Oreochromis niloticus: one gene and its partners. The protein of the gene in region 1 binds, or shares a complex with, the protein of each later gene. Links are inferred from orthologs where the notes say so. Each region holds a gene or a part of one and is shown on either strand. Other genes may lie near its edges. The genes, in order: ints1, ints7, ints4 and ints2.

The links.
Region 2: the proteins of ints1 (region 1) and ints7 are in contact, whole or in part, in a cryo-EM structure (PDB 8RC4), measured with the Homo sapiens proteins. The link is inferred for Oreochromis niloticus from reciprocal best matches to the Homo sapiens genes INTS1 and INTS7. Residues at the interface, in NP_001073922.2 of Homo sapiens: Leu1378, Gln1381, Gln1382, Gly1385, Gln1386, Ala1389, His1429, Phe1430, Leu1431, Cys1433, Pro1434, Arg1437, Gln1438, Cys1440, Gln1441, Pro1476, Ala1479, Gln1480, Met1483, Leu1484, Gln1487, Arg1552, Pro1554, His1555, Leu1556, Glu1557, Glu1558, Pro1613, Ser1614, Gly1616; in NP_056249.1 of Homo sapiens: His150, Asp151, Leu187, Ala188, Thr189, Pro190, Val191, Lys194, Thr223, Ser224, Tyr225, Pro226, Ser227, Thr228, Asn262, Asp263, Pro264, Arg265, Lys266, Pro303, Tyr304, Gln349, Glu350, Cys352, Tyr353, His354, Asn355, Arg357, Ala360, Gln384.
Region 3: ints1 (region 1) and ints4 share a complex: the UniProt entries of both Homo sapiens proteins name them as parts of the integrator complex. The link is inferred for Oreochromis niloticus from reciprocal best matches to the Homo sapiens genes INTS1 and INTS4.
Region 4: the proteins of ints1 (region 1) and ints2 are in contact, whole or in part, in a cryo-EM structure (PDB 8RC4), measured with the Homo sapiens proteins. The link is inferred for Oreochromis niloticus from reciprocal best matches to the Homo sapiens genes INTS1 and INTS2. Residues at the interface, in NP_001073922.2 of Homo sapiens: Gly561, Ile562, Ala563, Trp564, Asp565, Lys566, Gly567, Ser982, His1055, Met1056, Thr1058, Pro1060, Glu1095, Arg1096, Thr1098, Ile1099, His1102, Leu1107, Arg1225, Ser1250, Phe1251, Gly1252, Ile1253, Tyr1285, His1288, Glu1291, Val1292, Gln1293, Glu1295, Arg1296; in NP_065799.2 of Homo sapiens: Pro40, Leu54, Lys69, Leu72, Arg73, Leu75, Ser76, Gly77, Val78, Glu79, Val81, Asn82, Val85, Gly125, Thr127, Leu128, Glu131, His132, Glu166, Val172, Tyr173, Glu176, Arg322, Gln325, Gln326, Arg329, Gly400, Lys402, Thr769, Met772.

Annotation. Positions count from the first base shown.
Region 1 is NC_031969.2:25,398,535-25,405,913, forward strand, and holds the start of ints1 (integrator complex subunit 1), read right to left. Parts: upstream 3,006-7,379; 5' UTR 2,845-3,005; intron 2,486-2,844; 5' UTR 2,412-2,485; coding exon 2,357-2,411; intron 2,255-2,356; coding exon 1,964-2,254; intron 1,849-1,963; coding exon 1,652-1,848; intron 1,506-1,651; coding exon 1,368-1,505; intron 1,285-1,367; coding exon 1,125-1,284; intron 1,041-1,124; coding exon 935-1,040; intron 754-934; coding exon 567-753; intron 391-566; coding exon 245-390; intron 155-244; coding exon 13-154; intron 1-12. UniProt on the Homo sapiens protein: Component of the integrator complex, a multiprotein complex that terminates RNA polymerase II (Pol II) transcription in the promoter-proximal region of genes.
Region 2 is NC_031980.2:13,634,041-13,641,139, forward strand, and holds the start of ints7 (integrator complex subunit 7), read right to left. Parts: upstream 3,008-7,099; 5' UTR 2,851-3,007; coding exon 2,757-2,850; intron 2,620-2,756; coding exon 2,490-2,619; intron 1,594-2,489; coding exon 1,447-1,593; intron 956-1,446; coding exon 818-955; intron 714-817; coding exon 667-713; intron 406-666; coding exon 206-405; intron 117-205; coding exon 1-116. Other genes in the region: dtl (denticleless protein homolog), read left to right, coding at 3,765-3,816, 5,625-5,762, 5,855-5,947, 6,028-6,089, 6,282-6,402, 6,495-6,560. UniProt on the Homo sapiens protein: Component of the integrator complex, a multiprotein complex that terminates RNA polymerase II (Pol II) transcription in the promoter-proximal region of genes.
Region 3 is NC_031979.2:36,510,312-36,517,299, forward strand, and holds the start of ints4 (integrator complex subunit 4), read right to left. Parts: upstream 3,006-6,988; 5' UTR 2,917-3,005; coding exon 2,863-2,916; intron 1,781-2,862; coding exon 1,586-1,780; intron 1,432-1,585; coding exon 1,314-1,431; intron 1,222-1,313; coding exon 1,115-1,221; intron 999-1,114; coding exon 884-998; intron 677-883; coding exon 591-676; intron 439-590; coding exon 388-438; intron 293-387; coding exon 204-292; intron 1-203. Other genes in the region: uncharacterized protein LOC102082482, read right to left, coding at 5,288-5,627, 6,145-6,616. UniProt on the Homo sapiens protein: Component of the integrator complex, a multiprotein complex that terminates RNA polymerase II (Pol II) transcription in the promoter-proximal region of genes.
Region 4 is NC_031975.2:1,576,167-1,583,851, reverse strand, and holds the start of ints2 (integrator complex subunit 2), read right to left. Parts: upstream 3,010-7,685; 5' UTR 2,881-3,009; coding exon 2,873-2,880; intron 2,590-2,872; exon of another isoform or gene 2,234-2,589; intron 2,154-2,233; exon of another isoform or gene 1,956-2,153; intron 1,585-1,955; coding exon 1,276-1,584; intron 1,099-1,275; coding exon 960-1,098; intron 573-959; coding exon 470-572; intron 1-469. UniProt on the Homo sapiens protein: Component of the integrator complex, a multiprotein complex that terminates RNA polymerase II (Pol II) transcription in the promoter-proximal region of genes.

The DNA of each region.
Region 1 (7,379 bases):
ATCTAGTTTTACCTTTGGAGCTTGCTCTGGGCTGTGCTGCAGCACTGTATGGAGGACTTGCATGTTGTTGGGATTCCGGGCATTAGACAGCTCATTAAAGATCACGAGCTTCACCATAGTTCCCAGGTTGTCTCTGTGTGCATTTAGTAGCTCCCTGCAAAGATACACGCAAAGCTCCAGTTAGTGTGAATTACTGACTGTGATGACAAAATAGACGTGTGACAATAAGAACAACTTTACAGACCTGACACATAGCATGTAATGATTAAGCAGAACTTTGGGTTTGAGTCGGATCTTGATCAGGTTGGAGATAACCTCCATGTCATCTGCTCCGTGCGTGTTGCAGTTCATGCACAAAGACATCAGGAGGTCCTGAGCAGGGCGAGTCAACTGCAACCACAAAAAAAGCAAGTTAATGCTTAGTGACCTACTTTTAATGTATTGCAATATTTGTATCTTTAGAGGCCACATTTCACCTTTTATTTACACAAATCCTGCAACATATTATTAGTACAACTATATAACACTATGGATTTATTTAACACAGTCAGTATCAAATGTTTCACCTTTGGGTTCTGGAGCCACATCTCCAGCCTTTGCACCGCCATGAGTCTTGCCTCTTTGTAGCCACATGTGGCTGTGAGCAAACGCAACAGGTTTCGGGACACATTGTCCATCGGCTGCCTGCGGTTCAACTGATCCCTGAGGACATCAAGCACATAGTCCTCCACACTCTCTGCAAGTTCGTCATACCTACAAGTTTCCAATGAATAAGAACAATAAACACAAAATGATCAAGGAGCTCAATGCATTGTTTCAATCATTTTTCATTGTTCAATTGTGAAAATTTAACCGCTTTACCTATATATGCTGTAAATCTGAACACACAGACTGTACGCTATGGCTGTCACATTTATGTTGGTAGCTTTCATACCTTGGCATAACCTGCCCTTCATCCTCAGGGCTGAGTTTCTCCTCAGCTATCAGCAATTCAGTCTGGCTGTCATCCTCATCTGGGGTTGATGGATGAGGGCTGCTACCTAAAGATCAAAAGCAGCATGACCAATCAGCACTTGTTTCTGACATCAGTAATCCTGACTTGCAGAAACCTGAATGTACCATACCTGCACTCAGATCTCCAGCAGAGCGGCCTGTATCAGCCTGGAGCAGCATACTCTTTGGGGGCATTTTCGTTCCAAAAGCAGTCTGAATGTTGTCAACAAAATTCTTACAGTGAGAGCTGTCCACCCAGATTCTTTCACCCAGAGAGTCCTCAATGTAAACCTGAAAGTATACGTCAGAAGGACAAATTATAAGAAGAGCTCATGCATGACAGAAATATGTTTGAGTTTTGTGGGCGTTCTCACTTTGACAAATATCTCTGGCCAGTTCTCGTCCTCCTCGTATGCTGCCATCAGCAGATTGCATGCCAGAACAGAGACCAGGCTGTTGCCTTTTGCTTTAAAGTTGATGGAAGCATCCCTACGCAGGAGGCTGCACAAGGCCTAGTGACACAAGTGTAACACATGGAAAGTAACAAAGATTTTGTCAAATCATTGAGGTTCACTTGGCAAAATATTGCAATGCTGATATATTATACATTATTCATCTGTGTATATGTACTGAAGAATAACTGTGTTAAAAGAATTACCTCAATAATTCCCTCAGTTGCAAAAACATTGGGCTTGATTTTGGCCAGAAACATGAGGCTAAGGTAAAGTGTGATGTCGGGCTTGGCTCTGTTCATCTTGAGCTGTTTCACTGCTCCACACAGCAATCCCTCAATGCGATCGTCATTTCCTTCTGATTCAGCAGCTTCAATCTCATCCAGCAGCACTGCTGGAGAAACTGCCATATAGAAACATATTTTTTTAATTTCCTTGTCAGTTGTCACCTGAAGATTTTCTGACATTTCTATCTCAAATTTTACAACACTTCAGAAATGCACAGGCTTCAAAGTTACCTTCAATAGGTACTACTGATGGCTCCTTTATTGAGGGCGATATAGCCCTCTTGTCCACTGCAGCAACATCAGCGAGACGTCCAAGGGCACTGACAGGAGGGGTGGTGGATAGTTTGGGCCGCTTGGTTAGGTTGGCTAGCCCTGATGAGGATGGCAGAGTGGAGGAAGTCTCTCTCTTGCGGTCAGCAGGTAAACTTGTAGAGGTTGCCTTCAGGAGGACAGCAGGGGCTTTCGGCTCTCCTGCCTGGCTCTTAGAGCCCAGAGCAATGAAATCTCCTGTAGGGGGATGGCCTGCAAAAATGCAGATGTTACAATTTTAGTTTCTCCTGCCTTGGTGCTATTCAACATGGAACACACAGCTAAGATTGGATTTGGTTGCACAAGTAGTCCGACCTGATGGTTTCGCTGCACTGGGGCGCCTAAGAGTTGTAGGCTTCGGACGATTCATATTTACTGGTAGGCACAATTACAATCAAAGTAGAGCGGGAGACATGTATGTGTCGTATGTGTCATATGTGTAGCCTGTGTAGGACAAAACAATAAATAAACATGAAGTTAGTAACAACAGCAAAGGTAAAAGCCAGTAACAAATAGCAGTTTAAATCTCTCTAAATCTCTACAGCTAGTAAATCATTGCATAAGAAGACTAGCAAGAAGGATGTGTTCAATGCCGCTTAGCACTATAAAGGTTATTAATTACATGTTTACAACACACAAGACAAAAAATGCTAGGCTAACAACGAAAACTATGGCTAATATGACTAGTAGCACGACGTTAAACGTTAACACTGACAACTAACAGGCGTTAGGTTTCATTTAACTTAAATCAACCGTAAGTCGTTTGATTAATATGTTCAATAAAAGTCATACTGATTTGATACCTGGACGATATACTTCACACAAAAAAAGTCATTCACCGCCTCAAAGCTATCAGACAGACAGAGCCGTTGTGGCTTCTTTTTCTCGACTGAAATTACTCGATAACACCAACAAGTAACAAGTAACAAGCGCCACCAAGCGCCAGGGAGGATCATGTACAATCTACTTTGAGCGTCACCTCCTGCTCGTCGTGCTGTGTATATACACCAAGTTTGTATACGAACTTGCTCTCTTATCTCAACTTTTTATTATTAAGGCATTTCCAATCAGTTCAAAGTAAAATAGTTCGCCGTATCCTTAAATGTCTATGCAGCAAACCTTTGTGTTTAATGACTTTTACAGATTAAAATGGTTAACTCTTCCAATCATGGTGGAATTCTTATCTTTAACCCTCATGTGTAATATTTACGACAAAACTGCGCCATCACAGCTTTATGATTTTATTCCCCAGCTTCAGTACCAGTAGACGTGGTTTGCGGTAAAAAAAAAAAAAAGTTAAAAATCTAAAAATAAAAACTATATATGTCTAGCCAGTTTTATTTGCGGGGAAAAAACTTATCATTTAACCACATCTGCCTTGGTAGACATGACAAATCTTCTCCTTTGTGTAAAATTTTGTAACAAGTTTTTTTTTTAACCGGAAGTCGTATTATGTCATTGTTCCCGTAAGCTGACGAGCCAACGGTGATCGTCAGAGGGCGATAACGACATTATAGATTCATAATACATAACTGTTTCCATTAACTGTTAATATAACATAGCTAGTGTGTGTATAATGCTGCCACAGTACTATCTATGCTAATGTAATACACGTGAAAGGAAACGTGCTGTACACCACAGGGTTTGTACCACAGCAGAGGAACGTGTATATTTGTGTGTACTGTCATTGGTCAATACCATTGGTCAATACTTAATTTAAAACACCTTCCGGTCACCTCCAAAATAAAAAAAAACTTTTCTTTTCTTTTCTTTTTTTTAAAAAGCGAAGTAATTACGTGATATTACCAATTGGGGGCGCTAAAGATTCACATTTTTTTCTTCTACCTTTAGTGTTAATAACATGAAAATAAAAATAAACAAGAATGTGTTGATAAAAATGTTTTTGTATCAAAATTACTGATGTTAACGCATGTTATGAAAAATAAATATGTGTTAATTGAAATAGTCTATGGTAAAGTTAAGTTGAAATCAGTGTCACACAAACAGACAGAAATAATAATTTTACTACTGTCTACAGTATTTAAGTATATTTATATTTAAATATCTCTTTTTTTTTTCAATAGAATCTCTAAAATCTCTTTCTATTGGAGAAAAATATGAGAATAACAGCAATGTTTTATACTTGGACTCAGCTTTTTTGATGAGGTCTTTTCTAAAATCCCAAGTGAAAGATAAAGAAATGGCCAGCAGATGTCATCACTCCGACTCAAATGCTGCAAAACCGTGAATCATTTTAAGCAGTTACTGGCATTTGCTTAATGGGGTTCAGTCATTGCCTTGGAAAGCTTTTTCATCATCACTTGTGCCAGAGTCTGCAGATATTTTGCCATCTCATAATCATAGTCATCATTATTTCTGCACACTGTTCCTCACTACAGCTTTAGACTGGTCAAGCTTGAAAAAATACCCCTCTTCTTTATCATTTAACCTTCATTTTTAGTCTCCTTTGTGTTCCCTTGTGAAGTCGGAGGACAAAAAGGCAAGCATTGCATTTGAACTCTGAGTTTTAAGCACTTTATTATGAATTAAGAGACGAGATAGCTCTCGTCAATTCATTTGATTCACATCATGCGTTTAATTACTTTCATCCTTTGTGAAAATTAATTGAAAAAAATAAAATCCAAGCAAAACTTTGGCTGCTTTTAAGCTTAATAAAAGAACTGCATTTCGCTTTCAAAAACACCGCAGCCAAAGGTCTGGAATGAGATGCAGGTCAATCAGCTATTCTACTAAAATATGAAGATTAAATATTCTTCTGTGGAGGGATGCAGGTGCTTTTTTGCCCCATTTAGCAGAAATAACCATTTTAAGAGTTTTTGCATAATTGCTTACTATCTGGCACTGGGTGGTTGAAATTTTTTAACCACTCTTCTATCCAAAATTCCTTCAGTTGCCAGATAACCATAGGCGGGAGGGTTTTCAAACAGCAGTTCCTCTATCAAATCCTTTTTGAACTCTGGTCTTTAAGGCCATTCCATCACCTTACAGTTCTTACTTTTGAGTTATTCCAGAGTGGACTGGAGGTTAATTATTGCCTTGTTGAAATGTCCCTTTCTGATTCACTTTTCAGACAGGTAGCCTCATATTATATTCCAATAATCTTAGTTATGATGCAGAATTTATAGTTCAATGAATGATTGCCCAGCCCCCCAAGAGAAAGGAAGCAACCCCAGACCTTACCATTTCTGCCATTTCTTCATCTACTAAGCTCCCTGTGTGACAAACATGTCTACTGTTACTTTAACCAAAAATCTGCCTCTGATTTGTCTATCCAGAACAAATTATTCTAAAGCTCCCAGCCTTAGCCTGTTGGCAAAATGTATTTTACTCTTAAATTATTTGCTTTGAACATCAAAGTTTTTTCCCTGCCACATCTTCAGTACAGGGAGCCATCTCTTTCTGATTATCTAAACCTTTGCTTTGACAGCAACACTTGCATGAGCTACCTGCAGCTCCTCCAGTTAAAACTAGGGGTTTTGTCACTCTGGGGTTGGATTTGCTTTGGCAGCCGGTTCAGTAAAAACTGGCAGCCATCTAAAATCTACAGTTTTTACTGAGAGTGGAATTGTGGACCTAAAAAAATAATTAAAAAAAAAAGAGAGAACTTAAGATCGTGGCATGATGATTTCAAAGTGAAGCAGCAAACTCTAGATGGGTTTAATTAAGACAGGCTCCACTTGTCACTTTGCAAGCAGAGGCTTATTTTATGCTTATAGTGACTAAACTTTTCTGTATATAGTTACATTTGGAGAATTAACAGTGTTCATTTTGAGTGTTAATCTTCACTTTTTTTTTCAAATTTACAGCTATCAGTAGCTTTAGGGGAAAAAAAGGAGAGCATCAAAGCGTTACACTTTATAATGCCCATATTTAGTCCCGCCCATAGTCAGCAGCAGTGAATTGTTCATTCCTTAAGCATTGCTCAGCTGTGACAGGACTAAAAAAGAGAAATTACTCTGTCCTTCTCTCTGCTCTCTTGCTGTCTGCAAATTCCCAAACTCACTTTTTTTTTGCCATTTAAAGCGTAAAAGAGAACCTTGGTATTAGACTTTAAACAGTCCACCAGTGTTTGCTCCAGCTAGTACTGCCATCACTACCACTGTAACCTCACCATGTTCATTTCCATGCTGCTCTAAGCTGCCAGCTGGTTACGTAAAGTGTTTTCATATGAAACACATTTTGGTGAAGTCAGTGGAATGTTCAGTAAATGCTCCAAATTAAATCTTGTGTCACATGTGAAGTCTACAAATGTACAAAAAAAGCTGTTTTTTAGCTTTCGAAATTACGTACAGCTCAGACTGTGCCAGAGCTGGCTGTCTAATATGTCGGGTATTTTCAGCAAGTTGTGCCTGGACAATGTGGAAGGATCTAGTGGGAGGAAAACAGGATTATTATTATTTTTAATGCAGTGTGAGTTAATTGGCTGTGAGTTTAAAGTATCCTATAAATATCTTAAAACCATTCTTCTGCTAACAAATCATTTGGAGTATTTGGAAGAAAAGGAATGATCCCCTTACAACAGTGGGCCTCTTTGTACCAGATCAGATTTCTTAGGAGTTGAGAAGTCTGAGTCAGAAAGAACCCAGATTAGTGAGTCAATGTTACTTCCTGTAATTCAAAACTGCCCGCAAGAACCCAGACCCCACAGCACGTCGGTCTGACAAAAACCCCGGCAAGTCTGCTGCACATGGTTTTGCTGTTTTTGTTTTGTTTCACACATCGGGTGTATTTCAGGTCACCGGCATACGCTGCTGCCAGATGGACAGTAACTGAGGGTTATGCCATTGACTGAGCAGCTGGATGTCTGACTGGTGCAGAATATTCGCGGTGGTCCTGCAGAGACTCTCCAGTTTGATCTCTTTCTTTTCTCTGTCTGCACATTCTCTAGAAAACAAGCAATACAACAAACTTTTGTATTTTTTATTTACATTTTCTGCATTGTATCCCATCATCTTATTTCACTTAATATGTGATCCTGATTTACTTAAGCTCATCTTTAATACAGTCCAATAACAGTTATTCTAATAACTCATTTGGGTCTCGTCTCATCTATAATCTGTGATGTGATGCAAGTAACCTGTACAAAAAGAAGGTTACTCATCTGGTTTATTTGCTTTTTACTCGAAGCAGGTTCCAGCGCAGATGAAAGGACGGAGCCAACCATCCTTAGTAAACAATTGATTCCATATGTGATTCGGGGGAAAAGGTTGAACTGTTGAGTCATTTGCCATAAATGATGACATTCATTTTAAATCTATCCCAGTCTGCTTGTCTGGCATAAAGCCAGAGTAAAAAAAAAAGATTCGAAGGAATTAGT
Region 2 (7,099 bases), on another chromosome or scaffold:
TTTTCTCTTATCCACAGGTGAGGAGCCTTTTTAGCCAGGAGCTTTAAATCGTTAACTGCAAGTCTCTTCACAGCTTTTCTCGGATCATCTTTTAGGTACTGAAGGAGGAGCTGCAGCTGCAAACAGATTAGGAACCAAATCAGAGGTGCACCACAACAAACTAAAAGAAATGACACATAGCTGTGTGCGAGCAAGTTGGGTCTACCTGCTTGGGGATATCTATGAGGGAAGAGGCGGCCAGCTGGGTGAAAGTATGCAGGGAGACAATGACCATGGGGGTGGAAGGATAAGAGTTCACCAGATGCTGTAAAAGCTCTCTGCTGCTGGACGCCAGGCTGGCGTCATGATGCATGTGCTGCAGCATGGGGATCAACTTCAGCTTCAGTTCCACAGGAGTGTCTAAACCTGAGGTGGAAGAAAAGACCAATACAAACATTATGTAAAAGATGCAGTGCACGTGACAAATGTTTTCTTTGGGTTCAGCAAAATGTGTATTTGCAGTGTTTTGTGTTTCTTTTTCTCCGTGATTTCAGAATGAAAAAAAGAATAATTTTAATGGCTGTACTCAGTTTAGTGTGACAATTAAAAATAAAAGACATCAGTGACAATGAAGCTTTGAACCACGACAGCTCTCGTTTATCTTCACGTAAAGAATAAAGATCTTACCTTGAATCATCTCACTAACTTTGTTGCAAATTCCAGCTGCAAAGTCTCTGAAAATAAAAAATAAAAATTAATTAAAAAGCCACACAACAATAAAATCATCTAAAACATCATCCCATACATCAGAGCTCACTTTTAGTCATTGTTTCCTTACTTTGACTGTGCAGAGAAGCTTGCAGCAGCAAAGATGGCTGCCTCGACTTCCACATTGTCATGAGAGTCCAGGCTTTGGCGAATAGTGTGGTGGGCATTCTTCCTCTCTGGGATGATGGAGGCCAAACTACCAAGCATCCTGAACACATAAGACAGCAGGAATTTTCTTTTTAAAAATCTGAGATGACTGAAAAGATGGTGCACAACAAAACTGAAGAAGATAGTGCAGACAGGGTGGAGTGGATGGAGACTAGTATTGGGGTGATTTGTGACAGAAGGATAACAGCAAGAGTGAAGCAGAAGTTTTGCAAGATGTTAGTGAGATCTGCTAACATGTATGATGAAGATGTTACGATTCTTACAGAGAATGCACAGGATAGGAAAGAAGGGACAGCTCAGGTTGGGCATATTGGAGTAAAAGTTAGAGAGGCAAGGCTGAGATGTTTTGGACATGTGCAGAGGAATGACACTGGATACACTGCACAAAAGATGCCAAAGCCAGGCAAGAAGGCCACAAAGGAGGTTTGTAGATGTAGTGAAGGAGGACATGCAGAGGGTTGACAGAAGAGTGTGCTAGGGATAGGGTCAGATGCGCCACTCGCGTTTTTAATCATCATTTCACATTGTTACCTCAGAGTGATGGCTCTGGCCACAGGGTCATTACTGTGGATGACTGAAAACACCCGTTTCACAAACTCATCCACATTGAGAATCTTCTCCAAATGTTTCTCACTCTGTTGAGTCACTTTGAGTACACAGAGACGCAGAAAGTTGTTACTGGAAAAGAGAAATAAGATGTTTGTGGCACAGTAAAGCTCATCTTTAACTTCTCGCACCTTCTAAATACATCTTACCAACTTCAAAAACATTCTATTAAAAAGTGCATAAGATGCGCACATTTATTTATTTAGGCACTTTTGAATAAAATTAAAGTTTGAAAAATCCACTTAAGTAAGAATAGTTCTTATTCTTTCTTAAAGTGAAATAAATTCACTTTTTCCCCAAATCCTCTTATTTGGAACCTTCTCTCTCTCTTTTCCGTCAACTTTTTCCCTTTCTTTTTTTTCATGAAGAATAATTATAGTTTTTTTATTTTTAAAACCTTTCTCACACCAACATTTTTCCCTCTGTACTTACATCTATTCATACTTTTCTTAATTTTTTTTTTATTTTCTAAAGTAAAATAAAATACACAGATACTCCCTGAATATCTCACTACAGTTCAAACACAACACAATAACACATTAACAGGCCTGCCCTCAATGATCAGTTTACTGGGTATGCTTAGTTTAAAGTATCTTGTACTTTTAAAGATTGATAAACATCAAGTTCATTAGAGACATCAAAGACACGCAATTATTCATTAAATATAAGAAGAAAATCTATTATCTGTTATTTTTTGGTGTTTCAGAGTTTGTTTATTTTATTTTTGCATTAGCTTGGGAGTGATTATGTGAACTACATGAGTGTGCGAATAGTGTTTACATTTTCTTTTGACGGCTTAGGCTTGTGGTTAAACTGTACGCTCAATTACTTAGAGATGTTATTAAAATTTTCTCTACACTCTGAAATGCATTGGGATGCCTGTATTAGATTCAGCTATAAAGAAAGTGTGAAACAACTGTCAGTAAAGTAGCCTTTAACAAATAAATGATCATCTAAAGCAATCATACCCGAGCCTGAAGATGTCTGCTAGTTTTAAAAATGCAGAGTTGATGAGGATGGGAAATGGGTACTTCTGGAAGAGTTTGGGGAACAAAACCACAGCCTCACACTGCTCACCGAGCTTCCCCGACCGCAACCCTGAAAATAAAGTGGAAATGCTCCAGTCACAACAAAGCAGGAAGCTTCCACTTAACACATTACGAGGAAACGACACACCGGATCAGAACACAATCAATGAACCATATGCTAAGTCTTTAGCCAGCGAGCTAACACACCTTTGTCCAGCTCCATGAGAGCGGAGTTAGCGTCGAGCTCCTGTTCGCCATAACAAGCCTCTGACAGGAATGAGCGTGCGGTGGAGAGCGACATTACTGTGCAGTTTTTACCCCTTAAAAGAAGATACACTCATGAGATATTAGCATTTCACTGTTCAGGCGGTATTCAGGAAAACACTGAGGATACAGAGACAGAACATCCGGTCTGGAGATTGACTTTCACAATAAAACGCCAGTTGTCATGGTCGCGAGCTACCAAGCTGTTTTAGGGACTATTTATAAAATAGATTTACGTTAAATATCTACGTGAAATATGTATTAGTATATTATTCTAGTATCACCTTAGCATCAAATGATAGATTATGGATGAATCGGTAACACCATAATACTCTAAATAACAACAGTTACATTGGAGATATCATAGTCATGGTGACTTTTAAACCTTTGTTACTTTAGTGCTTCTGTTGAAAAGAACATTTTTACTTGTGATTTTCATAACTTTTGTTGCAGTCACAGATATTCATTTTCTAGTTCAACACTGCGCACAACCTGAAATTGTGTGTTGTCACACATACTTGCACCACTAAATGCACCATATACATGCAGCATTTGTTTGGCAGTGGTTGTATACAACAAAGTGTATTTACTAAACTAACAACTGTCTAACAGGATAAACATACTATGCAAAGAGGGGCTAGTTATTAGTTTAATCGTTTTAAAAAATATTTATTTATGCTGAAGGGGCGTCTCCTTCTCCAGTTATGGTGGGAAACTTTACAAAGAAAGCGGAAGCAGAAGCGCTCCTGCCCAGGAAGTCGCCGTTTCCACCAATGGTTGCGCGTAACGCAAGTTTAGCGGGGAATTCAGTCCTTCTGCTCGGACGATCTATTCGCGGGAAACAGTGTCCCGGCATCGGTAGGGAAAGCGGACCACCAGTAGCTAAACATCGAGGAAAACGTTACGTTTTTATACAAAAGCCTTAGGATCGAGTTGTGCTGCAGTGCAGGGATGCTTTTCCGCTCAGTGGTGGACAGAGGAGTGGGCAGACGGAGGCAGAATGGTGAGACAGGGATGGGTTTTTGGGGAGATCTGGGTTATCTGCACGGCCATGGCTGGGCTTTAGCTAGTCTACCATGGAAGATAATGCAGTCTAACATCTCTGCTTTATATTTGGAGGAGTCATGCTGCCAGGAGGGCTCCTAGAGTATCATTTGCACTTGCTTTTCTTTTGCGTTCAGTGTGGACTTTAACGTTTAACTCTACTTTCTTCGTGAATGTCTTTGTCGGGCTGTTCAGACTCCAACGGGTGGTAGATCAACAATATGTCCTGCCTTATACCTGTAGTACATATCAGGACAGTTTCTCACATTTTGATTGGCTTTGGTTTATACAACTCAAGAGCAAGTGAGAAGATGAGCGTGCCGATCTATGATCGTAGGTCACTTTATTAGGTACACCTGGCTAGCACTGGGTTGGACCCTCTTTTGTCTTCCATGCGTAGATTCAACAAGTTGGTTGAAGCGTCCCTCAGATATTTTGATCCATATTGACGTGATGGCATCACACGGTTTCTGCATATTTGTCGACTGTACGTCAACGATGCAATGTCCTGTTTTACCACATCCCAATGGCTTGAGATCTGGCGTCTGTGGAGGCCATTTGAGTACAGTGTGCTCATCGTCATGTTCAAGAAACCAGTCTGAGAGGAAGTGAGCTCCGTGACATGGTGTTATCCTGCTGAAAGCAGCCATTACAGCCATTAGACAAGGGTGTCACGTAGTAAAAGGTCACGTATAGATAAAATTGAAGTAGGCCAAGCTGCTGCAGACTACCAGACTAATGGAAAGTGGGAAGATGTTTGAGTATATTATGAAAATTTTAAGGATATGTATATAAAATATGAGCCTCACTGTTACCAGTCTAAATTCATTACACATACAGGTGATTATAGTAAATGGTCCCAAAAGAAAAAAACCTCAAAATCTTCTGGTAATTCAAAGAATACATCCTATTTTTTCCTGTTAAATAAAATAGGAACTTGCCCATTGATTCGTTTATAATGAAAACCCAGCTAATTTTCTGTTTTCTATTCATTTATTTTATTTTTAATGGTGTCTAGTGCTTATTTTGGTATAGTATAGCAGGTCAGGGGTGATTTGTTTGTTACTAAGAAGGCTGTAAAAATGACAATGAGTCAAATCTCTGGACCGTCAGTTTGGACTCTCGTGGCGTGATCGGTTCACAAGTACAAACCGAAAATCCACATTTAGGCATTCTTTGACATTTTTACACGGGCCGGTTGTGGCCCCTGGGCTGTATGTTTGACACCCCTGCATTAGAAGATCGGTACACCGTGTTCATAAAAGATGGTCAGCAACAACAACATGATACTCAGTGTGCCAAGAAAATACCCCCCACGTCATTACACCACCAGCAGCCTGAACTGTCGATACAAGGCAGGATGGATCCATGCTTTCATGCTGTTTACATCAAATTCTGAACTTATTATCCAAACATCACCGCAGAAATCGAGACTTTTCAGACTAGACAATGTTTTTCCAGTGTTCTGTTGTCCAATTTTGTTGATCCAGTGTGAATAGCAGCCTCAGGATCCTGTTCTTGGCCTACAGGAGCGGCAGCTGGTGTAGTCTTCTTCTGCAATGACTCCAAGGTTCAATGTGTTGCATGCTCAGAGATGCTCTTCTGCATATCTTAATTGTAACAAGTGGTTATTTGAGTTACAGTTGCCTTAATATCAGCTCAAAGCAGTTTGATGATTGTCCACTTAAATCTGCAATGATTTTTCCGTTAGTTTTACTGCTGTGTCTCATTGATTTCCCTCCTCTGACCATGCATCATTCTCTTCAGCTCTCCCTGCAGATCCCTGGTCCAGGTACCCTCTGAGCTCCCTGCTTGAAGGCTACCGATGTGTCCGACATGATGAACATATCTCCTATGGGAACTTTGGCGACTCTGTGCCACCGTTTGGATTAGCTTTCTCCTCTGGTAATTCATTTGTGCTTATCATTGTGAGTGCAAGGACCTGTTATCATTAATCTGTCTAACTGCAGTGTCTCGTTTCTGCTGTTTGTTTTCAGCCAGGGACCAGCAGAACATCCTCGCAGTAGCTAATGAAGAAGGCATTGTTAGGTTCTACAACACAGAGAGCCGTAAATATCCACTTCTTAAAGGTATTCTTTTGACTTGTGTTCATAATTGTCATGTCATGTATTTTGAAATGTCGGTGGCTAAATGTGTGTGAACCTTGCAGCATGGCTGGCTCATGAGAATGCTGTCTTTGATATCGCCTGGATGCCAGGGGAGGCTCAGTTAGTAAGTGCAAATTTATTCTGTTTAGTCAGAGAATTGCAGAAAGTCAGATCTTTATGCGTCACCCTCAAATGCATGACTCATGTAATTCCATCTACCTTACTAATTTTTCTTTTTGTTCTTTATTTTGTTGGAACTCATTAAAAACTCTGAAGCCTTTTCTTATTATGCTTTGGTCATCTGTGATCTCTTCAGGTAACTGCTGCGGGTGACCAGATGGCCAGGCTCTGGGATGTGAAGTCTGGAGAGTTGTTAGGCAGCTTCAAGGGCCACCTCTGCAGTCTTAAGTCTGTTGCATTTGCACCAGAGGAGAAAGGTATACCTTTTACTGAGCTAACACCGTGTTGGTTGTGCATTGATGATATATTGTTGTATCATGTGATTAATACATTTTCTTTTGTCACACAGCTGTGTTTTCCACTGGAGCCAGAGATGGAAATATTATGGTCTGGGACATGAGATGCAGCAAAAAAGGTATTGATCAGAACAATAATAGTGAATTTAGCAATAAATTTTAAATCATATCTTTAGCCACTTTGTTACTAGCAGCCTGTAGCAAAAACACTTAATTTTTTCCTGTTTCTTTAGTTGAATTTATGAAAAATGCCACGACCACTCAGTTTGAAAGGCATAAAATAGTACTTTTGCACCACCAAGGTGTTTCCCAAAGAACCATTAGCCTGAAAACCTGGGTGTATTTTGGCATTGTGTGCAGTGTGTCCTTCAAAGAAAGCCCTTTAGTTGATCCGTCTGCTGTTAACTGAAGCCTCATCAACATCGGTCTCAGGCTGTTCTTAAGAAAGGGAGCAGGGAGAAAAGTCTGGGGTATGCTAACTCACACAAAAACTGGACTGAAAATCAGTAACTGTTAAACGGACTCGTTCTTATAAAGCGCATTTCTACTCTGAGCACTCAAAGCACTTTTGTGCAACTTGCCTCATTTACTCATTTACACCTATTCATACAAGCACTTTTTTTCTATGCCTTTCCCATGTAAGTGCTTTCTATCTAAT
Region 3 (6,988 bases), on another chromosome or scaffold:
ACATACATAGCCTTGGGCTAAATATAAAGTCGTCACACCTGGAAGTTTCATGAAGGTTTCTGCACTTCAGCAGAGACAGTTCTTACACACAGCAGTTAGGATTTGTCTTTTCACACATCAGTTGTGGTTTCTGATCCAGAGAGCGGAACAAACTCAACAGCTACACTGACTGAAACGGAGTATGAGAATCTGGGTCTCCTCACCTCTCTGGGTACAGCTGACTGAGCACCCAAACCATCTGCACTGCTGCAGAACGGACCTGCTCGTAGTCATCTGTGAGCAGCCTGCAGGCCTGCAAACACACATGAATACATACAGAAGGTTGGATTAAACATCCAAAGCTATAGTGAGAGTGCAATAAGCTGTGAGGACGTATTCTGCTTGTACCTGATCATAAATAATCTGATGAATCTTCATCCCTCTCTCATGTAGCTGCAGCTGGAAAACAAACAACAGCACAGAGAGCGAGCAGAGTTACTGAAACTTGAAAAGAGAGTGGGTTGTTTTCCTTAAAGCTCACTGTGCGTGGTTTCTAAACACATGAGTGTAGTGCTGGTTGCAGTGCAGGGGGGGTTGCAGGGTTTTCCTACCATGGCTTTGAGGGCTGCAGTGCGGACTCTGGGGTCTTGGTCTCCAAAGTAGTCGCTGATAATGCTTTGGACATCCCTCAATCCTCCTGGAGGTAAAATAGCAGGCCGCCATAAAAACCATCACACAGCAACACAAAGCACAATAAATAATGACACATAAATACGATATGAGGATGAAACTAAAGACATCAAATTTAGATACAGAAGGATGGATTGATGGATTTACCTCTCTGTATTTTCAACATTTTAAGCTTTAGAGAAAATATAATAAATATATAACTATGTATACAAACCTAAGGATGTGCCCGGGCCCTCGTTTTCTTTTCCTACAGGAGCGTCCACCATGCCGAGACATCCCAGGAGCTGTAGGCACTTATTCCTCACCCCAAAATACGTATCAGAGAGATGCTAAGAGGAGAGAAGAGAAATGAGGAGGACATTTACTGGTTTGTGAAGAAAGTCCTGTTGAGTTTGTAATGACGACTTCTGTGTATGGACCCTGAATAAGTGCTTGTTTGTGTCACCTTGTAGGCCACCTCTACGAGCCTCAGTCTGAGTGCAGGACTCTCGGGCAGCTGCGTACCAATGACCAGCAGAGTGTCCAGCAGCTGGGCGAGAACTTGATGGGACTCTGAACACACAAAGAAACAAAACAGTTTACTATGAACGTTTCTCTGAGTTTTGGAGATAGATAAATCTTAGATATGTTCAGATATGTCGTACTCTCATTGCTGAGCGTGTTAATGGCATCGTCAACGATGCAGTCGGGGCTGAAGCCCTGCGTTTTAGAGAGCAGGCCGAGCAGAGAGGCAATCTTCAGCCTCACAGAGTTATCCGTCTCCTGGAAGAAAGAATCATCATCATTAGAAGTTTGACTTTTTTTTAGGACACTAGAAATTCTGGTTTTATCAACTCTATTTTAAAAAAAAGGAGAAAAAAATATCAAGTACTGTATTTTATTATTATGGTCGTGGTTACCACCCACAACTCTTTACCTTGTAGTAATGCTCCAGCAGGATCCTGACCACACCCTCCACGCTCTCTGCCTCCACAGGTTTGCGTGCAAACTGCAGCAGGTACTGCAGGGCATCGGTGGAGTTGGTGGCTTTACAGAGGTCAATGTGGAGAGCGGCAGACTTACTGGGTTTGGACAGACGCAGCTTTTTGGCTGGAGTTTCTTCATGTGGAATCTGTAAGTGCAAAAACAGTTGTAACTACAAAATGCATCTAATCTGTAATCTCCTGATATATAATCATCTATTCTTTTTGATCATATATACTAAGAGCTACTGTCCATTTATCCATGTTCTCCTCTGTTGTTTTTGTTCTTTTAATCCAGGTCACAGGGGCAGCAGTCTAAGCTGGGATACCCAGACCTCTTTCTACTTTCACCTCCTCCAGGTCTTCTGGGGGGTACTGAGGTGTTTCCAAGCCTGGGTGTTCCCAGGGGTCTCCCCCAAGTTATACATGCCTGAAACATCTCACCCAGAAGGCGTACTAAAGCTTTCCCAGTAAGAAGCTCAAACCATCGCGTGGCCTCGGACCTGGAGGTGCCAGCTCTCATCACACTAACAACAAACTGCCCCACTGTGAGCTGGATGTTGTTGCTTAGTGAAGCCACAAGATCCACAAAAACGAATGACATGACGCATAAACGGCTAATAACAGCACTGCTTCGAACAGCTATCACAGTTTCCTCTTACTTTGGCTAAAAATCCTCTCTGAGAGGAGCCAAATGTTCCTCTGTGCAGGAAAAACGCAGAACATGCGAATGAGCTCAGTTAGCGGATGAATGATTGACATTAATGCTAAATCGGATGTAAACAAGTCGGTTTCTTTTTGAGCTTTCAAAGCGTAAAATGCCGCTGTCAGTGGATACTGTGCTCAACATGCCGCAAACCAACAGACAGCAGCTCAAATAAAATGTTTAAAGTTCAAATCCTGTCAAGTCATGAAGGCTTTTTGAAATTAACAGCAGCTTTCTTAGTCAGTCTGAGGCTGTTAGCTCTCGGGTTCATTTTGTTACAGAAGAACTTCAATTTTTAATGCATTAAATAAAATCTAAGAATACAAACACTAAACAGAATACAAGTTTAGTGCTTTTCCTCTGCACTAAACTCTCAGAGGATCCATGTTGTGTTGTGACTGTGAGCGGCTACATTTTAGCATTAGCTAACACGGTACTTGGCGCAGAATGGTAACATTTTGCGATTTTTTTAACCTTTAAACTCTAAGTTTACAACAGCTGACGAGACGGTTATAATGCGCTCACCTGTACAACTTTGGAAAATTCCTCATAAACTCGCTTTTTCAGATGTGCTGCCATGTTTATGAACACACAGTTAGCTAAGCGTTTCCATTCAGCAGCAGGATAAATTGTCCCTTTACAGTTTCCGTAACTTCCTGATATTGTCCATGTCCGCTACATCGATCTTTTAATTATTATTTTGGATATTAATATTTATATATACTTTCATTTTGTTTATTTTTATAGGTTTATGTCAGATTTAATATACAAAAATATTTTCTTTCTTTTTCACTAAACACCTTTTCACCTTTTCAAGCATAAGACAGCCTCTAAGTCAAGGGAGAAACTAATATTATGTCTACACGTAACAGGCAACTTAGCAGAAGAAGCTCTTTTAAGTTGATACTTTAGGCACTTAGCTACAATTAGGCACATTTCAACATAATGTGCAGTGTGTCTCTAACATTTGGAGGAAATTTGACAGATGGAGGTCAAGAGAGAGGTACAGCAGAGGGTCTCTACAAGAGGCTCTGTTGTGGTCTGGGTCCTGTGATGGTGGGGAACTTGTTAAAACTTAGATTCTGATTAGGAATCCAATACAATCTGGAAAGACTCAGCATCACTGTAGCAGTGTGAGATCATCTTGATAGAAACCAGAACAAACGGCAGCAGACATCCAAAGAAGAGCTTTAAAGAAGCCTGGAGGATTATTCCTGAAGACCACTTAAAGAAATTACAAGACAGCGGTGAAAGAGAGTTCAGGCTGTGCTGATGAATAAAGGTGATCATGCCAAATATGGACTTTTCAAACTTGTTAGAATTGTACTCTTTTTTTTTTCCTATTTGTTTGGTATATATGCATATTTCAGTGAATCACTGCACGTATTTACTATTTTTCTATTTAAGCAAATGTGAGTAATGAGGTTTGGGTGATCTATTATTTGTTTTAGCTTTGTAATACTTTGTAGCTGTGTAATGCAGTGAAGCGATGACCTTGCATCTTCGCACACTTTTAGCGATTTCAGACAATTACAACCCCAATGTCAACAAAGTTTGGATGCTGTGTAAAATGTAAATAAAGCACAATGCAATTATTTTCAGATCTCATAAACCAACATTTTATTCAACATACAACACCAAAACATTAACATTAGCTCATTTTGAATTTGACGGCAGCAACACATCTGAGAAAAGTTGGGACAACAAAGGCTGGAAAAGTAAGTGGTACTAAAAAGCATCAGCTGACATTTCACAGCTAATTGTGTTAATTAACTACAGGTCAGTAACATGACCAGGTATAAAAAGAGCGCTTTAGAGGTAATGATGGACAGAGGTTCACCAAGCTCCAAAAACTGTGTCTACAAATTGTGGAAACTTTTCAAAATAATGTTTACCATTGTAAAATTGTAAAGACTTTCAATATATCATCATCTACAGAACATAATATCATTAAAAGAGTCCAAAAATCTGGGAAATTACTGTGTGCAAGGGACAAGCATGATTCTGCCACAGAAATCAGTGCATGGGCATTCCAAGTAAAACTCTGAGGAATCACTGTCTGTGAGCACAGCTCATCGTGCCAGCTACAAACGCAGATTCAAGCTCTGTCATGCAAAGTGTACATGATCCAAAAACACCAACGTCTTCTTTGGACCAAAGCTCAAAGATTTTAAATTGACTGAGGCAAAGTGGAAGACTGTTCTGTGGTCAGACGAATTGAAATTTGAAATTACTTTTTAAAAAAAAAATAACTGTAGAGTCTTCCAGACTAATGAGACGAGTGACCGTCCGACTCATTGGCGTAACATTGTGCTGAACATTGGGGGGGGGGGGGGGGGGGGTCAAGATCACTGTCTGAATAAATAAATAAATCTGGGTAAATTCCCAGATGATTTTGCTGGTAATACCTGAAATCTGTAAAGAAAATCAACAGCCTATTTATGCAAGATAATTAATAATTTTCATATAATTCATATAACCCCCCAAATTTCATAATTTGCATAATTTCCTACCCCCCCCCCTGGAAATTACGCCCCTGGTCCGACTTACCAGTGCACAGTTCAAAAACCTGCATCTCTGACTGCATGGGCATGCATTGGTGCCTGTGGAATGGACAGCTTGCAAATGTACCATCAATGCTGAAAGATTTATACAGGCTTTAAAACAATGTAACATAGCAACACATCGCATCCAGGCAACGTCTTTTTCACATTTAAACAGTGCAATAAAAACAAATTTAACAAACCAAACAAACAAAGAACTAAAAAGCAAACAAGAACCTTTTTTTTGCATTAAAATTTTTCACAAATTATTAATAAAATATGCCATTAATAATACAATACTGCAACATAACTGTAGTAATATTCTCATACTGGATCCATGAGGATGTCATGATTGAAAAGGGGCCAGAGAAGTTAAAATAGTACAAAAATCCTGCAGTGATGGACGCTCAGTTGATCTCGTGGAGCATGAAGGATTCTGCTGATGCTTTGGCCCTCTCGCGGTCCGACTTCCACGTGAAGAATGCCACTATGGTCACCATGATCGGGAGGGCCACACAGAGCACGATGCGGCTGATGGGCAGCTTCACCTGACACATTGCCGTGACCGAAGGATTCAGGCTGTCATCATCATTATTTTGGAACAAAAAGGCAGACCTGAAGTCCAGAAACACGGCTCTGCTGCTTTCTGTGGTGTTCACCAGGCACCTCCACCTCCTGTTGTTGTCTTCCTTCTGGAGTTTTGTCACCAGAGTGATGTTGCAGCGAGTGTGGCCGTTCAGGTTGTACCTGCACAGAGGTGAAATGGACAGAGAAACATCACACAGCTGTCGTTCATCACCAGTGTTCACCTGAACATTTCTGCTCTTATTTTTGGTCTGAGACAATAATTTAATTTGACTTACATTTTCTTTTATAATGTAAAATATAAGTTTATAATTCTGGTTGTTTTTTAATTCAGTCTTTATCTCATATACTCATTTTGTGTATTTTGCTGTGTATACGTGTCTGTATTACATCATCGTCTACCTAATTACTGCTCAGATACTCTCACAATTTAGATTTTTTAATAACAGAAAATATTTTCTTCCTTAGATAAAGAACAAATAGATTTTTTACTTTTTCTCGTATTTTATATTTAATGGTATTAGCTGTTTTTAAATGATTAAACTAAAAATGTTTGCGCTGATCTTTGTTATCTGTTAAGATGATTTATTGCAATACAGCACAACATGTGTTATGGGTTATTTATAGCAATAGTCTTTATGATTAACAGAAATAAGTTAAAGTGACCTAAAAAAACAACCTGCTGTTGTTGGGCAGCTTTCTCCCATCCTCATCCACCCAGCTCAGGCCGAACACGCTCTTTGAGTATGACTTGCAGCTCCCTGCGTCATAATAAGTGAAGAAGATGCAGGTCAGGGTGAGGATTCCTCCAGGCTGGAGGTCGGTGAAGGTGGAGAAAGACGAGATTGTGAGGAGGGAGAGGTAAACGTCAGTGACAGGCTGGTCGTTCTTCAGGCAGACGTAGGATCCAGCGTCCCGCACCCTGAGGTTGCGGAGGCTGATGGAGCAGTTGGATGTGAAGGTCATACGGCTGGATTTGTCTGAATCGGCCGTCACCTTCCCATTGACCACCTCGTGGACGAACCGCACGTCCGTGCCTTTGTTAAAGAAGGTCCAGGAGATGGCGGAGCAGTCTGAGGACGCCATGCATGGAAGAAGAGCGTCTCCTCCAACTGTGCTGTACATAAACACATTCTTTTTGCACCTCGCACCTGTCACCGAGAGATTTTTTATTTAAATAAATCTGATTAAACTTTCATATACTCAGACATGAAAGATCTAAAAGGAGCAATTTAGCATCCAGTAATATTCAAACATCTGTGCTCTTTAATATGGTCTTACAGTACAGTCCAACTTTGTAGTCTGTAATTTTCATTTAAAAAAATGATACGACAAAAAAACAAAACAAAGGAAAAGTAAAAAAAAAAGTCAATCAATTGCTCGGCTACAGTTCAGAACTACAGATCTGCATCAAAGATTAAGAACAGACATAAAAGTCAGAGTTATAAATAGGTAACAAATAACAATGAATAAAATGAAATTTCAAATCTTTTAAATGCAAATTTTAATTAATAAGTTAGAGA
Region 4 (7,685 bases), on another chromosome or scaffold:
TTTGTATTTATCAAAAAGCAAGTCACTGCCTTTTACAAGAAAAAGACAAAGCTGGGAGGAGATGGGAGTGGCTGGCTACAGACTCCTCTTCAAGCAGAAATCAGCTACATGACAAAGTGCTGTAAACAACTGGTGTTTGAGCTTCAGCATGTTTTTAACACTTTGCCACGTTCCTGTTGTGGTTTAAGAGGTGACTGCAAGCAGATCTACTTTTTTCTATGCTGTGCTTTGGCTGTGTGGAAAAATGTAAAAAAACAACCATACTGTATTGGGGTTGTGAGGTCTAAAGTTTGTCTCTTCACCAGGTTCTCTCTGCTCTGAATTCTGTTATGTGAATAATATATAAACCACTAACATATCATCTATTACTTGCAGTAAGAGGGCTCCCTTTCATACTTATCTATAAATGTTGCTGCATTAAATGCAATGCTATTGTAATGTACCTGCAAACAAAAGGACTTTGTTTTACCTGCTTGTAAAATGCAGAGGACATCCGCAACCTCTTCCAAGTACACGGGACTTTCAAAGAGTTCAGAAGACTTTAAGAAAAACTCTCCATTTGAGTCTGCCACCTGAGAAACAACACGGGAATGTGAAACAGGCCACAGGGACGCATCACCCAGCTCACCCTATTAGATGAAGATGGATCTACTAAAGGACAACAGCAGCACTGAGACGCAGTTAATTTCAGTCCAAGCGAGAGCAGCTGGCAGAGATTTAGGGGTAATTCTGATAGAAATTTCAAATTTAACGAAGAATTAAAGAAAGCAGCACAATCTTGTTTCTGTAGTCCACAGGTGACACTCATTAATATGATTCACACTTCCATTTCTTTACATATACACATCTGTCCCAGGTCAGATGTTTGTTCCACACTTCTACAATGCGAATGCTCAGTTATCATCATCATCGTCAGTGTCCAGAGATTTACTGAATTATAAGTAGAGCTTTGACTGTACCTTGTTCATGATAGCCAGGAGCTCACTGAGGGTCAGACGGAGTCTCCTGAGGGGATCACTGTGTTCAAACTCCAGAGTTAGGCCGTGCTGCAGCTGTGACACCAGGATGCTCTCTGCATTAGAGCCACCTGCCTTGTGCCTGGCAGAGGAGACGGTACATTATGTATACTGCTAAAATGAACTCCAAGTAGGCTTTTTTTTTTTTTAAACACGGTAACAAACATAGCTGTATATGTATGACCTGATAAGCAGTTTTTCCCACCCTGTAACCCACTACTGTGCCAGTATAGTGTTACCATGTGAAAATAAGTCATACCTAAGCTGCTGCTCCTTCCGTGCATCCTGCTCCAAGGCATGAAAGTCAACAGACAAAAGTGCTACAATGGAGTTGACGGCTTCGACCCCAGAGAGCAGGCGGAGGATTAGCTTCTTGTCCTGTGCCCAGGACTGGCTCTGATCAGCGGGGGCACATAACGCCATCCTCACCAAGCAGGGCAGTAGCAGCCTCAGCTCCGGATCACTTAACGCAGCCAGGCGCACTACATCCACCTTCTGCATGGCTTCAAAAGCATAGGAGCTGACAAACTGCAGCCCTGCACTGTCTCCCATCGCTCCGTGCATACACCTTGGGGAAAACAGACAAAACTGACAGTTTAAAGAGGAAAACTGGATGCATTTTTTTCTACAGTCTACTAGTCTGTTTTCAACAGTACATAAACTTTATTAAGTTGCAGCGCTAACGGTTGTCATAATGTGACCATTCATTCCTCGATATACATTTTTAACGCGAGAGTAACCTGTACGCTGATGGTAATGTTTTTGTTTGATAACTTGTTCATAGGTTTAGTCACTACAAACAAAAGCTGTTACACGCCACTAAAGAAACAAGATAACTGCCGGTTATAGCCACTAACTAAAGCAAATGCTAACAACTGCTGGGAGTAATACATGAACTAGTGTTTTCTGGCTCCTTGTGAAAATATTATCTGGGCTCACCCTCAAAAATCTTTAATATATGCCTTTTAAAGCACCAGCAATTCGGCTAAAATCGCTCGAACTCGTAGCTGAGTATGTTTTAAGGCTACATATGAGCTAGCAGTAGCTAACACTCATTCAGTTGTACGTTCGCTTCTGGAAAGACTTTTAGCATAGTGCTAGCAAGCTAAGAGCTAAAAGCTAGGCTAGTTTGTCACAGGACAACCTTGTGTTGACTGGTCCGTCTAAGCTATACAGAAGTGTAACATAAATACACGAATTCACAAGAACGCCCTTACCTGGCTCATTAAGATGACACGTACTGTTTGAAACAGTTATCACCACGGAGGCCTTCAGACGTCAGACTGTACCGTCAGCCCCCGCGGCCGCACGATCTGGGAGAGTCCTAAGCCAATAACAGAGGAACTTGTCCTGGATTGTGCCGGCACGTTTGTGGAAATGTCTTTGCCGCTGTTTGGCACTTTCACTCCATTATAGTTATCCTAAATCTCATCGTTACTCACAGGGAACACTGTGGATATTGTGAAAGCAAAAGCACTAATGTCGTGGGTGCCGTGAAGCAGCAATGACCGAACAAAGACTGAGGTCGGTCTGCAGACTGTACTCCAGCCTGCGCGTGCTGCGAGCACTCTGATAAATCACAGGCGCGTGTATATGATGGGGACTGCCATTCTTTCATAATTACAGCTAAATTAGATACGTTTTAATTTTTTTTATAGTTTGACTATGTTATTACGGACAGACAACTGTGGAAACCGTTTATTCTAGCTTATGTCAGACTGGTGGAAATGTTAAAAAATAATATGTAGTATTTTGATTACACTAATGTGTTGCAAATACCGCTTATGATGATGATATTTTAGGGCTTTTAGATTCCTGCCATTTTATAACTCCATTTAATCTCGATTTGTACTTACTCAAACATTTTCTGGTGTCAGTATAAATTCCACATTTTGAAGAATATTCAGACAGCAGTTGGTGAGAAGTGAAGGAAAACAGAGAGCAGGACCCGTTTATCCCTCTGTTGCTGACAGCGAGAGGAAATGCAGAAAATTATCCAAAGAATGAACTGCCAGCTGCTACTACATGCCACCCAGGGGCAACTCAGCAATTTACAAGCAAGATATCCCACTCAAATGGCTCTGCGTGGTTATTCGAATGCCTTTTCCCACATGTGAATAGTGTGGTAACAAGCTTGCAGAGATACTGTATATTAGACGCAGATGGTTACTGCAAACAACCATGATTTTCCAAAAAGAAAACATGGCAAAATAAACTTTCATAGGTTTTATTAAATATTGAATGTATTTATCTACACTCAAAATAAGACCAAATACATTTTAATGGTCAAATTTTCCAGGCCAACAGACGCTGGCTAATATGAAAGATAAAGAGCAACATCAGTTTATGGAGGAAACATCCAGACAGAACATGTTTCTCTTTGCACAAACACTGCATGTCCAACGGGCAGCCATCCGTAGCTGGTTAAAGTTCATTTACACCACACATCTACTTTCACACTGAAGTAAAATGGGACTGGTCTAAATGTGTCCATAACCAATCAGAAGTGGTGCCAGGAGGCAGACCTCAGCCAATGGGAGTAAGGAGAGGTGTGCTACAATAAAGGGATGTGCTGAAAAGGACACTGCATGTCTCTTCTCACAGTCTTGCTTTCATTTTCTCCTCGAAGAAAAATAAACGGATTAAAACAGAAATAAGATTAAACCTGAGGTCAGCTACTTCCAAGAGATGCCAATAGTTGTCACTCCGCTCCACTATCGGTGTCCTTGTCCAATTGCACATCAGTCCCCTCCCCAAAGCAATAAACACAAGCACAGGAAAATAAGTTGACGCACTTTATTCCTAAAACAGAAGCCACACCACCAACTGCTGGCATGGCATTCATATAGAATTATTTTATATATATTGCCGTTTGGTTTTTGTGTCTAAATGCGTGGTATAAAATACTATATACAACAATGTACCTCTTTATTTGAACACAGTGAAGTTCATTGCTGTACAAGTCCTCTGTAGCTACAGCTTTGCTGTAAGGTCTTCATGCTCAAAGGCATGAAACATAATTCTCCACTCTAATTCTTCTGTACATTGTGACAATACAAATATTCTGTCTCCATTACAAAAAATAATACTCTAAAAGCAACCTACTGGGACTTTCATTTTTATGGGATTTTTTCCTCTGGTGTTTTTATTAATTAAGACGATTACATATATCTTAGACCAATTGCTTTAAAGCAGGAAGGTGATATAAACCTTCTCCATTTTTTATATATAAAAGAGGTTAAGAAATAAGACAAATTATACATTTAAAAACTTACAATAAATAAGATAAATGCAGGCATTTTGTTTGGATACAATTACATCCAAAGGAATAAAAAGGAATTTCATGTCTTAAACCAAAGATCCATTCTTGGGTTTTTTTCCTTGATCAAATATGTCCCTTTTCTTCCGATAACTTTACAGATAAACTTGTCTCATCAATACAGACTGGCCAGTGACTGTGCTGCCACGCTACATAACATGACAACCAATCTGTCATTCTTTCACGTTCATTGAATGCAATTCAGCTTCTAGTTTCCCCTCTTTTTTATTCCCTTATCTCTACGTGCATGTCTTTAATTCACAGGGACAGAATATCCAGTCTCACGGGGGGCGGCGTGGTGGAGAAGGACTGGCTAGGCTTGGAACACCATCTAATCCCATCTTGGTGCAGGATCCAGCTCCGTACAGTGGTTTTCACTCATTATGACCCCCGCTGCCTTCTTCCTGTAACGCCCCGATGTTTACAACATGTTCATGATGAAGTTGTACATCTGGTTGAGCACCACAAAGTGAATTGGTAGACACGATCGTCGGTCTTGCGTAGCCGGGTCACATGTCAGCCAGGAGAGGGCGTTGTACTGCTCCAGCACAAATCTGTGGAGGAACACGGGCGTACAAAACGGTTACGCTTCAGTTTTCACCGCTTCATTAAAACATGTGGCAACTTTTGCCAGCATTGTGCACAAACCAACGTCAGTCTGAAATCGGCTACAAATAGAAAACTCACCCTGGAAACACAGTCAGCAGGGTGGTAATAGTAATTTGTGCACTCGACCTGATGCAGAGTGTGTGCCGGTGTTGTTTACCTGAGTACATCTGAGGTCTGATTGGAGTCGAGGGGGTGGGAGTGTTTGCTGTGCAGCAGTTCATCTGATTGCACTGAAGACACATGGAGGTGCAAAGAGGCCTGAGAGGAAGCACGGGGGGGAAGAGGTGGTGTCAGAAGCATTATAATGAAGTTATCAACCTTTCATTACATGTCATTTAAATAATGATAGCTTTTCACAGCAGAATGGTAACAGCAGTGAGTCTGCAGCCAATTCCAGAAGCAATGGATAAAAAGGCAAACAAAACAGAACTACCTTATTATAAGCACAACACACTTTGATTGTGTGCGATTACACACAAGGCTTCAATCACACTGGCTCAAGCAGCAACATTCTTCACCAGTCTTACAAATTTACTGCATTTCCAACATAGTTGTGGTTTAATGGGGTGGTGAACCAAGTCTATGCCAGAGCGGTGACTTCCTGGAGTCAGCGAGGTTTCCAAGCAATCAGCTGAGACCGGGATTAACAACCAGCACTGTTTATAATGGCCACGCAGAGCTCTGTCATAAAAAGGTGTCAGTGCATTTTAGTAGAACACCCGCCAGGTGATAAAAAAGGTCAGGGTTGCAAACCACACAGGACACTGGTGTTGGGCTTTGAGTGACAATGTTCAGGACGGCTACTTAAATTCACTAAGGTAAGGAGAAGGGCTGTGCGATATGACCAAAGTCTCATATCCTGATATAAGACATTTATCGTCCCAACAACGATATAAATCACACAAATGTTACATTTTCTGTAAATTCTGTGAATCTCGGGCAACTCCACTTGCGTGAAATGTTTCCAGCTGGGCGTCGTGCACGTGGAGTCTGGTGTTTTGACCGATGCATGAAGCTGTACATTTTTAGACATAAGTTGTAACAGCCGCCGTTTTCTTTGTGAGTATTTATTAGGTGGCGTGCTGCGGGGAAAAGCCTGTTCTAACGTTTGAGTCTGAGGTTTATTTGGAGCACCTGGCGGCTTTTTTTTGCTTCTCCGTAAACTCTCTCCACACTCTTTCACGTGAATCTTGTGTAGGTGGTAGCAGAGGTTTGTCGTGTTCGAGTCTGAGGTGGGGCCGGTTTTCTGCGTAATTTGCAGAGTACAGTTTTATGGTCCGTGTCAGACTTTTCATAACCAACCCATGTCCATGCTACAGAGGGAGCCCCTCGTTTAGGAATAAGGTCCTCGATTTGTTTTGACTGGTCTTTCTGTTTGTCATCATTTCAGTTTATTTTGAAAAATCTCAGCAGGATCTTCAGCTTTATTGTGAAATGTTTATGTGGAAAATAAACAAGTGGACGGCAGAGCCACACGCTGGGTTTACTGTCATTGTTGCTAACGACAACACATAAAAACAGTCGCTTATCCGTCCGTAGCGTGGTTATTTTAAATATAAGAGAAAGAGAGAACTTTAAGAAATTCATATAACCGCTACAGTGACCATCAGAACCATGAAAAACTGTTGCTGTAAACAGTTTATTTTGTGACACCATGAAACAAACGATAGCGTAATATGAAACGTTTTCATATTGTCATCAGATATATATCATCATATCGAACAGCTCTAGTAAAGATGCGAGAGCGTTCTTAAGTAGTACCTTGAGAAAGAGTGGGCACTGGTTCTGAGCCTGCGGACAGGCTGACCAGAACCAGTCGGGTAGTGGGCCGGCTTTGGCCGTGGAGACAAAGTAGCCGAGTGCCAGAGGCTGCTGCAGGAGGTTAGGAACTTCTTCGTGGGACTCCATACGATCGGTACTCTGACCCTGCAACGAGGTGGAAACTCGAGATGAACTTTTTGCTTTTTAAGCGTCATGTTGCACAGTGTGTGTGTGTGTGTGTGTGTGTGTGTGTGTGTGTGTGTGTGTGTTATGTACATGTTGTACCTTGCTGCCATCACCTCCGTGGTGGTAATGAGAGCCAGGGGAGTGTACCGGGGAGGTGGTAGGTGAGATGTTGATGATGTCTGGATCCACTAAATCGTTCTCCTGGTCGAGCAGGGCCAAGATCCCTATAGCATCAGAGCCATCTGTGGAGAAGAGAACAGCTCAATAGGATCTGCGATTTGAGGGTGAGTGTGCCATTCACTGTAATGTAAATTGTGACTGTAAATATGGCTTCTATTTCTGACCAACAAATGCATTTTTCACAAAAGAAATAAGCTGAAGACCCTTGAGGCTGCCATAGATGCAGAAAGAATGTATGCAACCATGACTACTAGAAAGGTAAACAGGGAGGATTTGGAAACAAACTGCACTGAAAGGCGTGATTGCTGTGAGACAAACAAGAAACAGCTGCTGAGTGAAAGACCGATAAAGGAGAACAACTGACCAGTGGTGGGATTGAGAATGTCGATGTTGGTGTCGATGTTGGTGTAATTGGAGCTGGCGACCTGGACGATGGCAGAGGTGGGGAAGACCAGGATGTGGGTGCAGGAAGTGTCCTGCGGCGTGCTAAGTTGCGACGTCTGCATGTTTAAGGTGGTGCTGCGGCCAAACACCGAGCCTGTCGACACCGAGTCTGAGAGGACGCACAGAGGAGAGAGAAAGGGTCAGTGAAGAGACACAATACGAACACGAAT